Linked DNA regions of Saccharomyces cerevisiae S288C. The gene in region 4 interacts genetically with the main gene of each other region. Each region holds a gene or a part of one and is shown on either strand. Other genes may lie near its edges. The genes, in order: UBR2, YGR210C, YNR066C and DPC29.

Region 1 (8,661 bases), on a different chromosome or scaffold from region 4:
TACCAGTTAAAGATAGACAACAAAGATTTGGAATGGGTATTGTAAAACCTATAGCCATGGATTATGTATCTGTTTTCCCTCCATGGGAATGGCAACTGATAATAATGTAAATGTTGAGTTTCACCTAGACTATACGCTTTGCCATGGTTGTATGAGTTTATAAAAGACTTGATATCGGTAGTAGGATTCAAAGGTTCTTCAATGAGGATTTCCGTCTTTACCATGGATTTTCTCATTGGACCGCAATAGTCTTTCACGCTGGAAATATAATTGTTTTCCTCTTTGATTTTTGTATCATTGAGACGACTTGTTGGGGAACGTAACGAGGACTTCGCTTGAGAACATACAGTTGAAGATGAAGACACCAGTGAAGTGGATGTAGAAGCATTGTTAAGCTTGAAAGTAGCGACTGAATTCACCAAAGTGGCTGCATCTGAATCTCCCAGTGAAAACTGAGATTCTGTATTCAGAGACTTGCCACTGTTTCTTTTGTACACAGAACTTGTTACTTCCTTTTCTTTTGTTGGACGAATTATCTCCAAATCATCATACCGCCCACTTTCAGAGTGTTTAACACTTTCATCAATAGTTGAAAATGGATGAGGAACGAATTTTGAGTAGTTGTAATTATAGATGGATTTACCGGATTTTTTCACCTTCTGAAAATTGTCCACACCCTTCTGCTTTAGCCTTGATAGAGATCCCATGGGTGAGGGTATATACTGAGTTAAGCTTTTGCTTGACGAGTCCATCATGTACTTAATTTGATTGTCTGTTGGGATGTGAACTATTTTTCAGCTTATCTGCGTTGCAGCTTCTTCTTTGTCCACTTTACAATGGCTAAACTTTACCAGACGACAAAACAAGTGTAGAATTTGAATCAACTGTGTCCTAAAGAAAAAATAATGTCCAAAAACTCTTATTATAAAACGAGTAAACCACCACTTCGCTCGAATCGCCAAGCTTTCTAGATGTACACCCACGCTGTGTCACCTTATGACTATATACCTTATCCATCAACACTTTCTCCATTTCCTGCAGGGTAAAAAGAAAAGTGAAGTCACCCTGCACTATACGAGCTTCAGCCCATACCCCACACTAAAACATTTCTTTTTCTGCGGCATTTCTTTTTTTTTCGGTCCGTCCCTGTCCCTTCCCACGAGAAAGCGTAATGATCCTCGACCCTACCCCACTTCCCCACGCCAATTAAAACAGATAAAATTTCTTTTGATTTTTCGGATACGCTAATTTCGTAGCAATTTTGAATGACTAGACATTTGTTGGATAACTACATAGTCTCCCACCCACCAAGATCTGCACTGCCGTCCGTTAGTCGGAACACTATGTGCGGAATCATGTTGCCAAAAACAATCTCATTCGCTAGATTCGCGTATCTCGCCCGATTCAAATAGACGGGAGTACCGAATTTGTAGTCTTCGTTGGTCTCTCCGTATTTACTTAGATAAGGTGCAGCATAAAATGTACCTCTTTTGCCGTATGACAGATATATCGCATTTGTGCCGGTCATTAAGAAAACTCCGTAAGCGGAGGTGATTTCGCATCCATTTCTCATATGATCAGTACATTCCCCCTGTAAATAACCTTGCAGTGCTATGCTTTTTTGAATATGGCATTTTTGGCCACACAACAAGCATACTGCGATTTCGTATTTATCACATTTATTCGATATTTCATCATTATCAAGGGAAAATTTGGAAAGGTTCAATGGTAGTTCGATAAGCTGGATATGCTCTGGTGAAGGATATGCTCTTGTGTTTATGTTCTGCACCATGTCATATATTACTTGCTGAATTCTCAAATTATCATTACCATCATTATACCTTTCTATATTTTGTGTTAGTTCGTTGTAGAAAAAATCCTTCAAAAAGTGAGTTAAATTGGGTAATTTAAAATACCGGAAAATAAGCTCTATTTCACGCTGTTTGACGTCCATGAAATTATTGCTGCGGTTATTATTATTATCACCATCACCATCATCATCATACTGAATGTTGAATAATAAGAAGGTTCTTCTACAAAAAATGGACAATGACTCTAGTAATAGAGAGCATATAAAGTCTTTAATTTTCTCTAAACTTGTAAAATCAAACCGAACGTCGTCTGGTTTAAAGAGATCAACATACTTTTTAAAAGTATTGAATAGATATGAAAAGCTTGTCGATGGTTCCTCAGATCCGTTTGATGATATTTTGATTTTATTTCGACAGTCTTTGTAAAAGTTTACTCTCATCATATCTCTTGCAAGCAACAGTAGTAGTTGATGGAACCTTCTTTTGAACATTTCATAGATACATAGGTTAGGCGGTTGCGGGGTTTTTCCTCCATCAATATTATCAAAATTTTGACTCATATACAAAAGTAGATTCACATTATTACCCTTTATTAGAAACTCATTCCAATTCCATATTTTACGAGAGATTTCGCTGCTGAATGTTTTTGAATTAACAAATTTTTTGTAAATAAACGACTTTAGCTCACAAACTAAATGTAAGGTTAAAATGCACTGACTGGATATTCTTTCCATATTCACTATTTTTCCTTCCTTTTTGTGCGATCTTAATCTGAGCTCAGTATTTGAAATAGTATTAATAAAAACACTATTAACAACTTTATATGCATCTTCGATAGTCGTGACTTTTTTACCCTGAAGATCACCTAGAATCATCGCTGCTTTAATACAAATAGAGCTCATTGGGTCAAGGTTTTCTTCCGCTTCACTTCGCTTTTCAATACACATAAAAAACTGGCTCGAAGTTCTCTTATCTATATCATTTGTTTTTGGTAGAAATGAATTACTTAAGGAATTGCATACGGGACAATATATCAACCCTGAACCATACGATAATGGAATATTTTTTGTAGTTTGGTTTTGTATTCCGCGAATCGACTTCATATGGCCACTTAAACATTTGGTATGAGACCCATGCCCGCATGCTCTTAATACTGGTTCACAGCTAGTAAATTTCAATCTCGTTCCATCATCATCCTGGGGGTTTTCTTGGATTGCACTGTCTTTTGTTTGCTTACCACTGAACAGCGAATTTATTCTATTAACATCTGTAGGATTCGTAAAATCAATTCCATGATCACATATGTTCCGTTCTTGGTATGAAAAATAAACAAATACATCGTCATCCTTCGGCATCTTGCAAAATACGCAATCATCATCGCAGCAACTGTTGATTGTGTTACTACTATTCTCTGCATTTATTCTAGTGGGAGATAAACTAGGTGATGTGGTTCTGGGTGTACTAATATCGGAAGTATCTACACTATTGTTTTCCATGAATTTCATTTGCTGTTGAGCCAACTTCTTCATTAATTTTTTCTTTCTCAATCGAGCAAGATGTTTTTTCCTTTCAAATTCTTTATCCTTGTGGCTTTTATCTTCCTTTGTAGGCCACAATATTCCTGGTGTATATGACGTGGTTTGCTCCCTCAAATAACTGTTTACATTTACGTGAGGCGCTGTTTCCATTAAATACCTGAAAATTTCCCTAATCTTACCATGAGATTCCGAAAAATTATCCTTCAACAAACAGTAATACAGGATAGAACCAATGCTGTGGTAATGACAGAATTCTGTGTCCACAATTGCGTATTCATGCCACAGTATCCCCATAAATTCATTCAGATTATTAACCACGCATAAATGAATCAAATGAACCACTCTCGGCAATAAATTGTCATAATCATATTTTATAATGTGATCTAAAGTATTTTTCAAAAATAAACCAAAAGTATTCACTGATGATATTGAATACAGCCCAGAAAATAATGTATTCTTCAACAAATCTTTAACCTTTTTTGCTGGTACAAAAGTATCTTCATATTTCATTTTCTTCAAATTTGCCATATTCAGCCTGATATTTTTCTCTACATCATACCTCCTACTGGAAGACAACCCTATATAATAAGGATCAATCTCATCTTTATACTTTTCTTTCAACACGAAAATGCCATTGTCAGTCAAGCTTACAGGAGAAGTGTAATTGGCGTATTTTTCGAGATATATATCAAATGAAGGGTGCTTGGTGATATGTTCTGGAATACAGTTAACAATTTGTGCGTAAGAGCATGTATCAAAGCAAAGGGCATGAATTATTTCTGATTTGAACGTTCTCTCGAAGCCTTCCTTTGATGATTTCATGACCAATGATCTCACTTCAGTAAGCAATTGAATCAATAACAGAATGCATTCATTAACAACGGCTACAGTTGTTTCTGTATCAGGATAATCATACATAGGTACACCATTTGCCCAGTGCTTCAAACCCCACCTTGAGAGGTAAGTAACCATCAGTTCATCAGGATTGCACATTGCCATACTAAATTGCACATTGAAAATGTCACTAATATAAGTAAATTCTCGCATACTGTATTTTGTATACATCCGGGCCTGGTGAGTAATTGGAGTTCCGTTTCTTACCCAGAAACCGACGTTTATTTGCCCGATTAGGACTAGGGTTGACAAAGCAGATTCTGATATATATAAAGCCTTCTGCTTATCTTGAAAAACTTCGAAGAGATTAATGTAGTTTGTCAAAGAAGCAGGAATTGGCTCATATCTACCACATTGACTCCATTGAATAACAAATTTGAACAAATATGACATTGGATTGAAAAAATACTGTGTATTTACACCTACCTGGAAATTAATAGTCTCTGCGACATAATTGCATATCGTCTCTCTGACTGTAGACAAAGTCGCTTTGTTCGAATCATTTTCATTCGTTGATGCGTTATCAGGTGATATAGCTTTTCTAGAATTGGTTAGTGATTCAAATTCCCTGGTTTGAGCAACATCAAGTAGTTTAAGGACGATTTGCTTACGGAAAGCCGCATCTTTGACCAAAGATATACTACGTGTGTATCCATCTGTCATTATTAGTATTGATGAGAAAAAAAAATAAAATGCAGAAAAATCAAAGTTTTCAACCTCCACGTGTTCTTTAGTTTCCCTTTTCAATGGCAGCACGTTACTGAATTCAGAGAAGGACTCAATTATTGCGTTAAAAATTGCCTCATTTGAAAGTAGTTCTTCCGGAACAGTGTTCGCTGACATTATCGTACAAAGGTCTTTAAAGCAAATAATTGTCCTTCGATTTCGTATTGTTTCGGTGGGCAACTTAAAGCCATTGTATAAAGAGATGGGCAAATATGACATCAAGTCTTCTGGATTGAATGCCATGAGAGTAAAAGCAAATCTAATAGTTCGTTCAATGAATCCCGAGCTTATAGTCATATTTGCTATGCTGGGGTCTTGGAAAGTGTATTGCCCTAATATACTCATAAGAGTTACCTGACATTCTTTAGCATCTGATGCAACTGCATCATACAAGACCGATAGATAAACATCAATATATTGTGCGGCAAGAAACTTTCTGCTTTCATCCCTTAACGAGAATAATGACGCCATGATCTTTAACATTTTGAATTTAGATTTTTTTGAGAGGATATTAATAGAATTGATGATAATATATTGGAATCTAGATCCATAGAAATTGTAGAAATGGCTTACTGTGTTCGGCGAATGGGCTCTGATCAACCTTTCATTGTAATTAGTGAGTATTTTTGAAATTCTTTCGTCTTCAATGTTCTCTAATGACCAAGGTTTAAACCATGATTCATCACTATCTTCGTTAGATATTAAGAATCCACCTAATAAGTTAATCTTAGAAAAGTCAGGATTGGTATTTGTGGGAGATACTCTCATTTTAGAAAAATGGGAATACCAAACATCTAGCATGGAAATTCTAAGAGCATATTTATTTTGCAAAGACGTGGCCGCCTTAAAGCACAGAGAATATAACCAATCTGTTAAATCATCTGTTAACTTTCTCTTGAATATATCATCCGCTTTTCTTACATGAACTACTATGTTTTCCTTTTGAAACTCCTTGGCTATTTGATCTATTTCGAAAAAATTCTCACTTTGTAGCACAGTCACTACATCGTGTGAATCTTCTAAAGCCTTCGTTATTGAGATTGCATATTCAACCGGTGTATTCAAAATTCTTGTTATTGTAGATGCTAAATCCATGTAGTGTACGTTACACTCTTCTTCTTCGATTTGAATAGCCCACTCCATATGTGCTTCTTTTCTCGTATTGGACCAATTGTTATCAAAGAAAACAAAATTTTCATCATTGACCAATGGTTCACATTCGTGTTTTTCCATTATATCATCAGTAATGCTGTTTTGATTAGGATGCATTAGGGAGGATGCTTTTCTCTCGCTTGAATGGGCTTCTGCCTCCTCTTTGTATGAAACAGTTACATCAATTAAAAAATCCAGAACATAATTCAATAGGGAGATTACGTTTTCATCATCGGTTACGTTACTATTGTCGTTAGAAATAGGAATATTATTTAATTCGTTCTTGCACTTGAACGCGTCGCTTGGGTCATTAAAGGCAAAGGGGTCACCACAATGGCATATTCTGCCTTCTGGGCGCATTACCACTTTAGCAACATAAGAATGATTTACATGTTTTTCTTTATCGAAACAAAGCTCACATATTTCATACAATGGATTTGTGGAGCACGTAAAACAGTAATAAATTGTCTCAGAGGGGAAGCATAAACGCGTACACGCTGTTCCAATATGCATATTACCCACAGAGTGGTGGTCATTCTCGAACTCCAGGGTCCTCCACTTTCTTCCATTTAGTATGTCTCTGTACTTTTCGTTTTCCCAGGCTTCAGAATTGAGTATTGAAACGAGAGAGCGCCAGTTTATATCGTTATCACTATGCTTAAGGCGTAGATTTAAGGTTTTCCATAGTAAATAACTAGTGGTTTCGCTATATTCGCATTTCGCGAGTTTGGGGAGCTCGGTAAGAAAATCTCTTATATTGGTTATAGACAGGTCAGAATCTTCCATGCGTGCTTGTTAAGTAGCTATTAATTTAGTTAACGAATCTTACCTTTACTATCAGAGACGAGTAAATGATAATAATTAGAAAAAAAAGCCGGCTCTTTTTTTTAAAAAGCTTGAGCAACTTTTTTTTTTTATAGAGTTGTTAGTAATATGCCAAGCAATTGAAAGTATGAATGCGTTGATTATTGGGTTTCTCCCCACAGCTGTACATTGACGATGCTCTTTATTGATATCGCCTAAAAGTTCAACAAACGCCACTGGAAATTGCCGCCGTTGTCACCACAACGTGATAAGTGATGGTGTGCTTTTTGCACATCTAGTGAAGAAACGGGCAATTAGGATCTAGGACCAGTAACACTTGCCCCGCAAATATTATAACATGGGCCTTATGATTGCTCGGTTTGTTACATCTAACATCCTAAGAAGTGAGTGGCATGAATACGTAGCTATATGTAGATTGAAAATTGATGAGTCGAGTCATCACCTTCCTCTAAACGGGGGATAAATTTTGGCGGTATTTTCCCTAATTTTATTCTTCGTTATGTCAGCCATGTGAGACTAATTAATTCAAGTTTTGACTTACAATTGCGGCTTCGTCGGAAATCAGTATTACGTATAAACTGTGTACCATAAAATTGGCGTACTCGGTATTGTTTATACTAAGCCGGCCATTCTAGTGATTTCGCCTCTATAAATGGTTGTTATTCGAGTATAATATTTCAACCGCATCAAAGAAAGAGGTAGATAGCTTGCGTTCAACACCGTTCTTTTCTTTCCCCCTTAATTTAGCGCTTGGCGGTTATGCTATGGTGACAGTTAACTTTTTTAATTATAGGATGACTTGTCATATTGTTATATGCCGCATACTTATGTAAAGTAGTTATTGAGGTGGGGGTGAGCAGAGTAACGACAACGATGGAGTTCCGTAACTAACCAATGCTTAATGTTGGTAAGTAATAGCAAATATATATACTACATAGCTTTTGTTATATGCATCATTTTATACGATTCATGTTCGACCCTTTTGATAAAAGATGGGATTTTTAAATAAGTCGGTGGGTGATTTCGAATCATGAATAGTTGGCAGAGCAGGGGAAGTACGAGCTTCTAAAGGGTAAGATATTGTATTTCGGACGGAAGCAGCAGAAACATAACAGTATTGATAAATAAGGCATGTGGTCATCACTTTTTGGTTGGACATCAAGTAATGCCAAGAATAAAGAGTCACCAACAAAGGCCATAGTGCGGTTGAGGGAGCATATCAACCTTCTATCCAAAAAGCAATCGCATTTACGTACTCAAATTACAAATCAAGAGAATGAAGCTAGAATCTTTTTGACGAAGGGCAATAAAGTAATGGCGAAGAATGCACTTAAAAAGAAGAAGACAATCGAACAACTTTTAAGTAAGGTAGAAGGCACAATGGAGTCTATGGAACAGCAGCTATTCTCTATAGAAAGTGCAAACTTAAATCTAGAGACAATGAGGGCTATGCAGGAAGGTGCTAAGGCAATGAAAACTATTCACAGTGGCCTTGACATAGATAAAGTGGATGAAACTATGGACGAGATAAGGGAGCAAGTCGAATTAGGAGATGAAATAAGCGACGCTATATCCAGGCCTTTAATTACTGGGGCAAACGAGGTGGATGAAGATGAGCTGGACGAGGAATTGGACATGCTGGCTCAAGAAAATGCTAACCAAGAAACGTCCAAGATCGTTAATAATAATGTTAATGCGGCGCCTATCTCAGAGAA
Region 2 (4,305 bases), 390 kb from region 4:
GACAGTCATAATGATGTTGATGTTATTGTTTCTGTCGACAATGAATATCGTCAAGCCAAAAAGCTCTTTGTCTTTGACATGGATTCAACATTAATCTACCAAGAGGTCATCGAATTGATTGCCGCTTATGCTGGTGTTGAAGAACAAGTGCACGAGATCACAGAAAGAGCCATGAACAATGAACTTGATTTCAAAGAGTCTTTAAGAGAACGCGTTAAATTATTGCAAGGCCTCCAAGTCGATACACTATATGATGAAATAAAACAAAAGCTAGAGGTCACCAAGGGTGTGCCAGAACTATGCAAGTTCCTTCACAAAAAAAATTGCAAGCTCGCTGTTTTAAGCGGTGGTTTTATTCAGTTTGCCGGTTTTATCAAGGATCAGTTAGGTTTAGATTTTTGTAAGGCAAACTTGTTGGAAGTTGACACTGATGGAAAATTAACCGGTAAAACACTGGGTCCTATCGTAGACGGACAGTGCAAGAGTGAAACCCTTCTGCAACTATGTAATGACTACAATGTTCCAGTTGAAGCAAGTTGTATGGTGGGTGACGGTGGTAACGACCTGCCAGCCATGGCTACCGCCGGGTTTGGGATCGCATGGAACGCCAAGCCAAAGGTGCAGAAAGCTGCACCTTGTAAGTTGAATACCAAGAGCATGACTGACATTTTATACATTCTTGGTTACACCGATGATGAAATATACAATAGACAATGAAGAAAATAATGATAGATAGATGTAATAGAGTTTCTTTTTAAAATTGTTTATTTAAACTGGTAAACATGATGTACTTTACGTAGCGTTAATATACCGGCAACTATACGTTGGAAGCAATAGCTTGCTTGATAGCAGCTGGGTTGGCACCGACGACTCTGGTAACCTCCTTACCGCCCTTGTAGAAGATTAGGGTAGGCATGGAAGAAACTTCAGCTTTTTGAGCAACATCTGAGACTTCATCAACATCCAACTTGTAAAAAGCAGCGTCAGAATATTGTTCTGCAAACTTTTCAATCATTGGTGCAATCATTTTACATGGCCCACACCATGTGGCAAAAAAGTCAACAACGACTAACTTGTCGCCAGATGCTAAAGCACTGTCGTATTCAGAAGCGGATTTTAATTGAGTGACCATTATTGATGTGTTATTTAAAGATATCGTAGACTCTCGTGTATGTGTGCGTGTATAATTCTTGCTAGACAACAAATAAAAACTGGTCCTCGTTATTCTCTTGTCAGCTTTTCATCCCCCGAATGGCTTTCTTATATACTGATATCCCTCTTTCGGCTGGCTGGAAACTGAACGCGCTTAGTAAGAAAAGAGCCACCTTGTAGGGAGCATCCTTTACTAAGAGTATAAACAATTACACATATACTTTGATGATTACTTAATATTCACTGGCACTCAAGTTATGCTGATCTTGGAGCGATCTTGAAGCCGAGTATGTCATTCTTACCGGGCTCAACAAGACTTTCTTCACTGACTCTCACGCCGCCAACGGTTTCAATGCTTGCAATGGTGACCTCGCCACCCATGATATACCTGGCAACTTTGCCAACAGGGGTTCCTCGCTTGACCAAAAAACAATCTCTAAATACGTTGGTTCCGTTGCCACCCGTAAAAGTCTGGATGTTCTTCACAGTGTACACCGGTATTAGACCAAGGATGTCCGTTGCTGCTTGCAGAACCTGAACAACACCCGTAGATCCGAATCTATACAGGACCAAATCTCTGATATTTTCAATTCTGTTAAGGATCTTGTCGTCCAGTGGCTTTAGTTTGTCTGGCTCGTCCTCAAATGTGTCAACAAATTCCGTGCCCTCCTCGTATAATATAAAACCTTGCTTTTTCAATTTCCTCAAAAAAACTTCCGTCACTGCACTGGTCAGTACAGCTTTGGTGTCAGGATACTTTAGCATGATTTTAGAAACATTTTTATCGGCGTCAGGGTGGTCAATCTTGTTGAGTGCCAACACAGTTGGAAATTTCTCCATCATAAAGGACTTGACCACTCGAGTGATCCATTCGTCATCCCATTTTTCCAAAGGTGGTAGTCCCTTCAACCTGTCCAGGGCTTTTTGGATCATGGGCGCATGTGAACCGTACCCACCGAATTGCGCTTGAAGTGTGTCCACTATGCTAGATTTCGTTGCTGTATGTTTACGCACAATAGACCCCCATCTTTTCTTCAGGTTCCCCTCAACCCAAAGCCTGATTTCGTCTTGCAGCCATTCTATATCGTTCAATGGATCATATCCTCTTGTGTTCTTCCCCTCTGCATCTGTGGTTCCACTAACGTCCACCACATGAATAAGAGCATCTGCGTGTCTTAAATCATCCAAGAATTTATTTCCAAGCCCTCTGCCGGAATGCGCTCCAGGCACAAGCCCTGCCACATCCAACAGTTTGATGGGGATATGCCTCTTACCCTTGCTACACCACCCGTAGTTAGGTTTACAAAGATCTTCCTTGCCAAATCTGGAGCAAGCACACTCAACTTGCAAGTAGCCGGTTGCCTGATTTGGCTCGATCGTGGTAAAGGGAAATGCTCCTACCGCCGCACCTGCGTCCGTCAAAGAATTTAATGTGGTGGATTTCCCTGAAGATGGCTTACCCACAATACCAATCAATGGATCCCTGGGCATACTGGCTCTATTTCCGTTTTATTCTTACAGACAGCTTATACTACAAGTTAGTTGGACAAAAGCTAAAAGACGGAAAACGAAAACGCAAAATGAAAATAAAACCAACTCTCATTACAATTCATCCTAGAACACTTACACATCTGTTTTGCACTGCATAGCATTACATTTCTTGCATATCTATCTATTCGAGAAAAAAAAAAAAAGGCATCGAGTGAATTTTTCACCTTGATAAAAAAGCCCTTACTAACCCTACAATAAATTGTGCCGAAACCCTCTGGAGTTTTCTAGAATATTCTAGCCCCATCAGGGCTAGAATATCCTAAAAGTTTATAGTTGACGAAAATTTTTCAGCGATGAGATGCACATTTATAATGCTATGATGTTCAACGCAAAGGAAATCATAGCGTTATCGGGTAGGTTCGCATCGTTAGCAATAGCTAGTCGCATATATACACAGAGATACATATTATACCTATACCGTTAAGAAATAGGATAGAAAATAATGAGCGAACAAAAGGAAGATTTGTTTAAACCAGTAGGAGAAGCTGCTGCAGAGGTCGAAGATGAAAGCATAGCCGAACAGAACAAAGCTAATGACGGCGTCAAGTTAACCGGCGCACAGGACGCCATGGGCCATCCAGTGCAAGAGATAGAGTCTCTTTGTATGAATTGTGGAAAGAACGGTACAACCAGACTTCTTCTGACTTCCATCCCTTATTTCAGAGAAATAATTATTATGTCATTCGACTGTCCTCACTGTGGGTTTAAGAACTGTGAGATCCAACCCGCTTCTCAAATTCAAGAGAAGGGCTCTCGTTACGTTTTGAAAGTGGAGTGCCGTGAAGATTTTAACAGGCAAGTTATTAAGTCAGAAACTGCCACTTGTAAGTTTGTCGAGCTAGACATTGAGATTCCTGCTAAGAGAGGTCAATTGACGACAGTTGAAGGTTTGTTATCCGAGATGATCGACGATCTGTCGCAAGACCAGGAAATGAGAAAATCTATAGACGAAGCTCTTTACAAGAAGATCGATGACTTCATACAGAAAGTTAAATCCTACATCAATTGTGAACCCAACACTATTCCGATTACATTTATTTTGGATGATCCTGCGGGAAATTCCTGGATCGAATACAAACCCGGTGAACCTCAACACAAATGGTCTCATACCCAGTACGTGAGAACCGACGAACAAAACGTTCAAGTTGGCATTATTACTAGAGACCAGTTGGAGCAACGTCGCCAAGAACAATTAAAACAATTGGCCAACCGTGAAAGAAATCCTTCTGAATCTGTCAAAGTTGGCTCAGCAAACCCACAGTTTTTGTCAGACGCCACCGACATCGAAAACTTTAACAACGAGGTGCAAACATTCAGAGCTTCTTGTCCATCGTGTACCCAAGAGTGTGAAACTCATATGAAGCCAGTAAATATCCCACACTTTAAAGAAGTCATTATCATGTCGACGGTCTGCGATCATTGTGGTTATAAGTCTAATGAGGTGAAGACCGGTGGTGCCATCCCTGACAAAGGAAGAAGGATTACTTTATACTGTGACGATGCAGCTGACTTGTCCCGTGATATTTTGAAATCTGAGACCTGTAGTATGGTAATTCCTGAATTACATCTTGATATTCAAGAAGGTACATTGGGTGGTAGATT
Region 3 (4,532 bases), on a different chromosome or scaffold from region 4:
TTGTAATGGCTCTACTAACACAGATTTATCCTTCGATTTGTCACATATGTTGGAAAAGGCAATCAGATTATAATCTGGTATACACAGGCCGTTTGCGTCCCTAACAAATTCAAACGAACATTCGTAGTCGGATTCACCACAACTATTACAAGGCGTTTCATCTAAACTCAAATCTTTGAATGCTTTTTTTACCAAACACTGGGCGTCTTGTTTCCTCCTTCTATACTTGTATTTGGCGCCATTAACACATTTCCCATCCGCCAAATCCCAATCTTCAAAATCTTCCTCCTCACACGTTCTAGAGTCGAATGCTGCTGAAAAATCAATTATATACTCGACACCTTTTAAAGAAGTTATACTGTTGGTTTCGGAATCGGTAGTGGCAAACGTTCCTTTAAAAATAAATTTTGAGCCAGATCCATCTGGTGTTGGATTTATCAATTTGTAGGGATGGACAGAACTTATGGCATTGGTCAGCTCATATTCATTCCATGTTCTACCTTGGTCCAAAGAATAATAAAATTCAGATTGAAAATCGCCATCTTCCTCTGGATCATATGGGATATACACAATAATATTTCCCAGGTCACCAGTAGCATATAACCCAGAAGAATTATGAACAAATCTCCACGTTAAACCGCCATCTCTAGAGATGAAAGTTTTTTGGTCTTCCCAATCGAATTCACTACCGTCGCCAACGGAACCTGTCATTAACATAATTCCGGCAGTAGGATTTGAGATTTAGATACTATAAAAAGGGTTCTGGAGCGAACATCTTTCAGGCCTAGTGATATCACAAGGGAATGAATCTGCATTTTCCTCGTCAACCACTTTCAAATTTGACCATGTGAGGCCGTTATCAACAGATATTTTAGTTTCATATCTGGCTATCTTTTTATTATATTTTCCTTTGTTATGAGAGTAGTCAAAGGAAGGATGAAACGAGCCAATTATTGTTCCTTCTAAGAAATGAGGAGAAGCAATATCAATATAACCAAAGTGAGGATTTATTGTCCATTCAACAGGTAAAAATTTCAACCCTTGAGAATCTGATATTAAAATTTCTGAGGGAGCTGGTTGGTCGTTTTTTTCATCTGTGAATATCGTAGATATAGGAATGATTATTCTTCCAATAGAATCTTCATAAATTCCATACATATGGACGTGCCGTACTTGAGCAGGTAGACGTGCCTTTTGAAAAGTAGACGCATCATTGGATATCCAGATGTCCATGGGTGACATTTCATTGTATCTATCATCTTGTGTCGAAACGATTATATGTGATTTTAATATCTTGTATTGATAAATAATTTTATCATTAAACTCATCAAATTTTTTGAAAGTTTTACCTCCATCAGTACTTAAGGCTAATTGTGTATATGCGGCACTTAAGTGACGATCGCTATCGTAACCATGGTTCGAGAACAAACATAGTATCGAAGCGTCGTTACCCTCAATATCAGAATCCTTGCTAGATTTGACAAAGTTGCAGCTTGAACTTGTTATATGGTCATCTTCTTTCTTTTTCAAGGAAGGTTCGATATTGTAAAAGGATTCCCCATCGTTGGTAAAGTAAGTTTCATTTTGTATTTGGATATAACCATTGTCGTTTATAAAGCAAGGGCAATCTGCAATAAGGTACTTTTTATCTGTCGGATGGGTAGCTATAGAGCAAGAAGTACCCAAACGACAGTTTTCAGAGACGGGTATAGTCAGAGCCCTCCATGATTTTCCACGATCATCGGTGACGTAAAATTTGGGTGATAAATGTATCGAAACAAAAGCCCTGTCCTGTCCATGCAAAGGATCAACAATTAATTCGAGAATATGCCCTTCAATTTCTTTGACCGCTTCCCAATTTTCTCCAGAATCGGAACTTATCCACACGACTTGATTATCTAATCTGATTAAACTGTTGGAATCGTCAAAGCTCTCTAGACTAAATGAATATTCTGAAAGAGTCTCCGTTACTTTGGGGACGAATTCCTCTGCATTGAGTAACGGAATAAAGAGACATGTCCAAATCGTGCATATGACTTGGAGTAATATCATAATTGAGGATCTCTTACCTTTTCTTAGTTCAAAGCTTTTTTTCAAAGCTCGGAACTTTATGCTACGATTCAATGACTAAAAAAAAGGTAGCGGATAATCTTTTGGTTGCAAATTGGCGGCATTTAAATATATTTTGGGTTGCAAATATTCTAAAAATATTCTCATAATATTCTAAAAATATCTAGCCTAGGTAATTGCAATTATTTTGAGTCTGGTTATTTTGAGTTGACCATGTTCACTTCCTTTTCAGTCATCAAGACAACGTGTTTACCATCTAATGGGGAATCAAACAGATAAAACTAGAAACTGAGCAAAAATACTTTGATTTGCTAATGTCGCCAGTAGTACGATAATACTATAAAGATATGCTGTTGAAGCTGATATTTAAAGAATGAGAATCTCTAAGGGATCATAGTCTAGAATGGTATTCTGCAAAACAAATTTTAAATGGTGAAAACTTTTCCTCACTATGTCCAATTGATGCTTCTTAGGATGACGTTAGAATTTTATTTTAGTGCAGGCATTACCTTGCTAAGTTCATTCATTAAAGTACTAATATACCTCTTACTGGCATGCATTTACCTAAGTGGTCTCCGTTAGCCGTGGTCTTTTCGAACGCAACAACTTTCAAGTTAAGTAAAAATGATTTATTCTATAAAATATGTATGTAGTGGGAAAGACTCGACAGACCTGCTTGCCAAGTTCTCTTTCTAAGCAATTGAGTTGGCCAGTCCCCCTGAAAATGCTAATGCCCATGTGCGACTCATTCCGTTATCCAAATATGTGGATGAATCAAAAGTTGAATCACTGAAAAATGCATACGAATCTACTGGGTCGAAGAGTGCTTGATTCAGCTTCAATATGCCTGTCCAGCCGCTTTCTATCGATTCAATAATTGGCTCGATTTTAGTCTGCCATTCTTCTTCGACGAAAGTCTCAGAACGAATATTAGAAGAAACTGGTGTGATAGGTAGCATATGAATACCGTGGATATATTCTGTGTTTGTTCCAAAATAAGTAGTATAATCGATAATATTATCGAATAAAATACCACTCACTTTATTTCCTATGATTTCTTCAGGCTCAACTGTGTTGTCATTTTGATAATAGAAATAGTCGTTCATTGCATCCTTCATTATACTAATCATCAAGTCACCCCTCAATTCCATTGACTGGTCACCGATAGTGGCCCCCCATAACTTCATAGCATAGGCAAAATTGTAATCTTCACTACTACTTTCTTCGTTCTTACCGTTACCGTTTTCATAAAGTCCAGCTGCCCATGAATGACCGTTGAACCAATCAAACATTCTCGATTGTGCAAAGTATTCATCTTTTTCAGATGGATTTGCGACATCTCTTACCAATGAATTGACCCAATCTTTATTGTCGGCAGCCCAAGTACCATTCAGTTTAGAGTCAACATAGCCGATGACAGCAGCTGCATGAATAATGTAACCATAATGGAAATGATGGTCATTGTAATAAGTGTTACCAAAATCGTATTGCGTGCTGGTGGAACCCCAATCTCCTGAACTGACCAAACCGTTGAACTTTGTGTCGTAAATTAGTGGATACGTCTGTTCATTTTGTAGCAGAATATCAAAGGCCGATTTGATGTTTTCCAAAGTACTCTTAGTACTGGCTTCATCTTGGATGATTTCGGAGACCGTTAATAGAATGTAAGAATACTTATCGATAACTTTACCCAAATAATATGTGTTTAACCCGCTTATACTTTCGGAAATACTAACCTGTAATTCGGAATTGGCAACTTCAGCTAATAATTGCAATTGTTCTTTAGAATACTCTAAAAGGTTTGAGCCAAGTTGAGAAGACCATGGTAACCAAGATATTTGTCTGTTTAGAGATGTGGAAAATTGTAGGCTCGTTGTTAGATAACCGTTCATTACACCCTTAGTTGTAGAAGCGAGTTGAATGCCGGTATAGTAGTCTTGCATTATATCACTAAATGAAGATTCATGATGGGGCAAGGCAAAAATCATTGTGCTACCTGATGCCGACTCACCTTGGGTGGTATAAGAAAATTCATAGGTAGCTGTAGAACCGTCAGAGACACCCTGCAGCTTGAAATTAGTAACGTACATACCTGCGGCTTGATCATAAAAGACCTCGTAATCAGTTTCAGAAGGTGCGACGGCCAATTGAATGATAAGACCATCAACACTAGCGCTTGCTTTAATTTCATATTCTGAGCTCACCTCCAATGAAAAGTCCGTTGAGGTTAAATCGTCTGGTCCTATCACGTAACATAACCAAGTGACTCCATTCAAAAGGGTGATACGATATTTGAGAATACCCTGAGCTAAATTGCTTGATGATTCAGAAACAATGGTATTGAATCCGACGCTGGAACCAATCTTGGCATTTAAAGATCCATGATATATACCAGTTGCAAATCCCATACCTTGAACCAAAGGTATTTCCAGGTAGTTCGAAGAATCATTGGATTCTGATAG
Region 4 (4,148 bases):
TGCGAAAGAACACTTAGCGGTAGTGTTGTTAACGCCATGAGAATCGTTCTCCACATAGATAGGCTTGAAGCAGAGCTCTTCTTCCTGGTCGGATTGCAGCTTGCCATACCTTAACTACTTATATTATACTAACTGGGAGTAAGTTAAAAGTGGAAACGAAGATCGAACCAACCCGAAATGAACTAGAAGTGTTTAAACAAATTTCGGAAGCAATGGAGGATTATATCCCAATTATCTCCTCGGAATATATCCTTATTATGCCTTGGTCTTCCAATATGGACCGAAGAGTACTTACAGTAAATAGCAGTATCCTTCGTTTTTCATCTACACTTTTCTACCTAAAATTGATCTTCCCGAAGAAGAAAAACTAAAAACTTCGATTTGATGACTGTCAAGACCCCAAGAAAGAGGGAAAAAAAAAAATGATATCTCATGCAACAACAAGTAATTAAGTGCTCCTTGTTCATGGAAGACACAACAGGCACCACTAATAACCTGAATGAGGCACCTTCGACTTTCGAGATGAGCCCTTAGTTCATCCTGGTGTTGTGTTTGAGAGGGGGAGAGCACATCATTGTACTTCCAGATCCCCCTAGCCATGATCTAATATTACCGCTGAGTAAAAATAGATCTCGGCTGCGTCTCCGTCTCCGCCCGCCTTCCGTCGGTTACTTCGTCGGTTCTTGCTCGACCCCCGCCAGTCCGCAGACAACAGTCCGCAGCAGGCAAGTGCTGGTGTCCGCTTGGTGTTTTTACGTACGATTGTCTTTGTTGTTGTTTTTACTCTTTATTACAGTTATTACTACTGTTTGTTTAGTATATACAGGTATTTGTGGTATTGATTATTTATTTACGGTTTGGTTGGATTAAGCGTTGCTAGCGTTAGTGTACAACGACGTCACTTCGTCGATGTCCTCGAGCGCTGTGGTCAGTTTCTGTAGTTTCTCGAGCGTTTCATCGCCTTGCACGAAAACTTCCATATCCGGCTTGGCATTGTAGCCGATGCCCAAGTCTCTGATGTGGAAACCACGCTCCTTCAGTAGGGCGGCCACCTTATTGGTATCGGCAGGTTCCATCACCGCCTCGTAAGTTTGGCCTGTAGTTTCAGTTTCGGTATCACACTCTAAATCTTCTGCGTCTTCCTGCACAGGCGCAATGTCTTCGATGCCTTGAATCTCCAGTACGCTTTCTAGCACCTTGTCCTCAGTGTCTAACATCTTCGGAGGTACCATTGTAACGTATCCTTTTTTGTCGAAGAAAAACAACGTTGGAGTCATCGATCCATTAGCTTTATTAAATGCACTCCTTATCAGACCTATGGTCCTGTTCTTGTTGTCTGTCAGCGCTTCCACCACTATAGCGACCCCGCCGGGCCCCATTCCCTCGTATACACATAGCTCAGAAGCGTTTGAGTCCTTGCCCGATGCGCTGCTTCCAGAAGCTTTCCGGATGGCGTTCTCAATAACTTTTTTGCTGACATTGTTTTTATTTGCTAGCTCGATGCTGGTGGCTAATCTTATATTCATGCTCGGATCCGTAATACCGTTGCCTAACTTGACTGACATTGCTATCTGGTTTGCAAACTTGTTATTAATTTTGTTTCGTTCCGCATCATTCTTGGCTTTACCGTGCTTGATGGTTGACCATTTGTTGTGACCTGAACGTACCGAGGAATTCAGCACACTAAACGATCGAGAGTTTTTGAGCAGTTCACCCAGATACCTATTTCTTACCAACATTTTCCAATTTTTGATGCGTTCATACCAAGTTTGCTGTTTTTCTTAGTTATTATCATCATCTTTCCCCTTATTGCTGCTGAAACTTGCGTACGTGCGTACTAAAAAAATTTCACTGCGCTTACGCCGGTAAAGGGAAGTAGGAAAACGAAAGAAAAAAAAAAAATAAAGGCGAACGATAACAGGAAAACCAACGTGAATTGCAAGCACTACATTTATTATATCGAGTTGACAAAGAATTAAGAAAATAGAGCACTACATTTCTATATTCATAGCTAGTCTCACTGACGCATAGTAACTAAATCATGGCTGAGAAACGTACTCTTATAGCTGTGATAGCTGACGAAGATACTACAACTGGTTTATTGTTAGCCGGGATTGGACAAATCACTCCTGAAACCCAAGAAAAGAACTTTTTTGTTTACCAAGAAGGTAAGACTACTAAGGAGGAAATCACTGACAAGTTTAATCACTTTACTGAAGAGAGAGACGATATTGCCATCCTTCTAATCAACCAACATATCGCGGAAAACATAAGAGCTAGAGTGGACTCCTTCACCAATGCGTTCCCTGCTATTTTAGAAATTCCATCTAAAGATCATCCCTACGACCCTGAAAAGGACTCTGTATTGAAGAGAGTCAGAAAGTTGTTCGGTGAGTAAGCGAACGATCTTTCCCAAAACAAACACAATTACTGGTAGATTACTAGTAGCAGGCGGAGGTGGAGGGCGGGAGCCACTGTTATTGCGTTTGTATAATATATACACTCATAAATGATATATTTAAGGTTCAGATAAAAACAACTTTTTTTTTTTTAGCACGTCTTTACTGCAGTCACCAAACCCATTTTTTTTTTCCTATTGTGAATACCCGCCCATATTTTTCACACACAACTGATGAGTAATATAAAACTTTTCTTTAAAATTATAACAAGATACACATATATAAAGACCAAAAAAGGGAACGTGACACGGCCTCGCTAATATACAATCATAATTCATTAACTGATTTGGCTAATGCTTCAATAAAGATATCAGCATGCTTCTCCTCGAATGTTAATGAAGGTCTTAATCTCACTGCATGGACTGCACATCCACCAACGTTGCAACCATTCAACTTCAATTTCTTCAATAGTAAGTCTCTCTTCTCACCAGTAGGCAAATCCCAGGCAATGAATGTGCCTCTTCCTTTACCTCTCAAGTTTTGAAAGTTTTCAGGGTATTTCTTCTGCAAACCCTCCAATTTCTTGAACAAATAATCACCTACTCTTGAACATTGTTCAGTCAACTTCTTGTCGGAGATTTCCTGTCCAATGGCACCTGCAATGATCATTCTTGCAGGTTCACCACACCATGTGTTGAATTGTCTGTATGGTTTGTTTGGAATGAATTTAGGGTCGTGGAAGAAATATCCTGCACTTTGGAATTTCTTGGAAAAGGTCACTAAATCCACAGGTGGTTGAATATCGGCGTACTCATGACACCATAGCTTACCGGTGGCTCCGACACCTGTTTGCACTTCATCTATGATGTAGACAACGTTATACTTCAAGGTAATGTCTCTTAGCTTTTGTAAGAAATACTTAGAAGCGTGGTTATCACCTCCCTCAGATTGAATTGGTTCGATGATTAAGGCAGCAACTGGAATAGACCAGGTTTTGATTAATTCTTCAACAATGGCCAAGCAATGGTCATCCTCTTTACGGTTTGCATCAGAATTTTCATCTAATGGGTATTGGTAAGATGGATACTCAGCATGAGGCCAGTGGAAGGCTGGGAAATCCAACTTGTGAATTGGTTTAGAACAAGTTGTGGAACCGGAGGCAAACAATCTACCGTGGAACGCTCTCTTGAACGATAGTACGGCAAGATGAGGGGCGCCAGGGGCGTCATTGTCCATGACAGACAAGTTTTCCTTTTCAGAAAAATCGGCATCATAGCCCCTTTGTTTGGCACGGTAATAAATAAAGGCAGCCTTGAACGCTAATTCATTGGCATCTGCACCGGAAAGCCCTGACCAGACGTGATCTTGACCCTTTGGCGCAGATTTCAATATTTGCTTCAATATCTTGTCTAAATCCTTAGATGGGAAGTTACCTAAGGCAGGACGGTCGACCAAAGCACGGATCATTTCTGGTGATTGTGCTGCCTTGATCAAAGCAGGGTTGTTATAACCAAGTGCAATTGAAGAGATTTGGGCATACAAATCCAAATATGTGTTCCCATCCACATCAGTGATATAGTTACCTAAAGATTTCTCATAATCAGCCAAAAAATATGCTGGTCTTGTGTCAAAAACTTCACCCAGTTCCTTTAACTGCTTCTGGGATTCAGGACCAGGAATGGACTCGGTCTTAACAGTTGGTTTGGTTGGCTCTTCTGGGTAGTATTGTTCACAAATAGACATTGTTCT

What was found.
Region 1: mutations in DPC29 (region 4) and UBR2 together harm fitness more than expected from each alone (negative genetic interaction), as found in Saccharomyces cerevisiae (2 studies listed by BioGRID).
Region 2: mutations in DPC29 (region 4) and YGR210C together harm fitness more than expected from each alone (negative genetic interaction), as found in Saccharomyces cerevisiae (2 studies listed by BioGRID).
Region 3: mutations in DPC29 (region 4) and YNR066C together harm fitness more than expected from each alone (negative genetic interaction), as found in Saccharomyces cerevisiae (2 studies listed by BioGRID).

The regions. Positions count from the first base shown.
Region 1 is NC_001144.5:186,375-195,035, forward strand, and holds UBR2 (putative ubiquitin-protein ligase UBR2), read right to left. Parts: upstream 6,908-8,661; coding exon 1,289-6,907; downstream 1-1,288. Other genes in the region: IZH3 (Izh3p), read right to left, coding at 1-755; ESCRT-III subunit protein SNF7, read left to right, coding at 8,078-8,661. UniProt on the Saccharomyces cerevisiae protein: E3 ubiquitin-protein ligase which probably functions outside the N-end rule pathway, since it lacks the residues essential for the degradation of N-end rule substrates. Mediates RPN4 ubiquitination and subsequent degradation.
Region 2 is NC_001139.9:912,096-916,400, forward strand, and holds YGR210C (uncharacterized protein), read right to left. Parts: upstream 2,644-4,305; coding exon 1,408-2,643; downstream 1-1,407. Other genes in the region: SER2 (phosphoserine phosphatase), read left to right, coding at 1-717; thioredoxin TRX2, read right to left, coding at 818-1,132; zinc finger-containing protein ZPR1, read left to right, coding at 3,146-4,305.
Region 3 is NC_001146.8:752,984-757,515, forward strand, and holds YNR066C (uncharacterized protein), read right to left. Parts: upstream 2,053-4,532; coding exon 742-2,052; downstream 1-741. Other genes in the region: YNR065C (uncharacterized protein), read right to left, coding at 1-717; DSE4 (endo-1,3(4)-beta-glucanase), read right to left, coding at 2,763-4,532.
Region 4 is NC_001139.9:525,223-529,370, reverse strand, and holds DPC29 (post-initiation translation factor DPC29), read right to left. Parts: upstream 1,740-4,148; coding exon 867-1,739; downstream 1-866. Other genes in the region: MTL1 (Mtl1p), read right to left, coding at 1-107; VMA7 (H(+)-transporting V1 sector ATPase subunit F), read left to right, coding at 2,042-2,398; UGA1 (4-aminobutyrate transaminase), read right to left, coding at 2,727-4,142.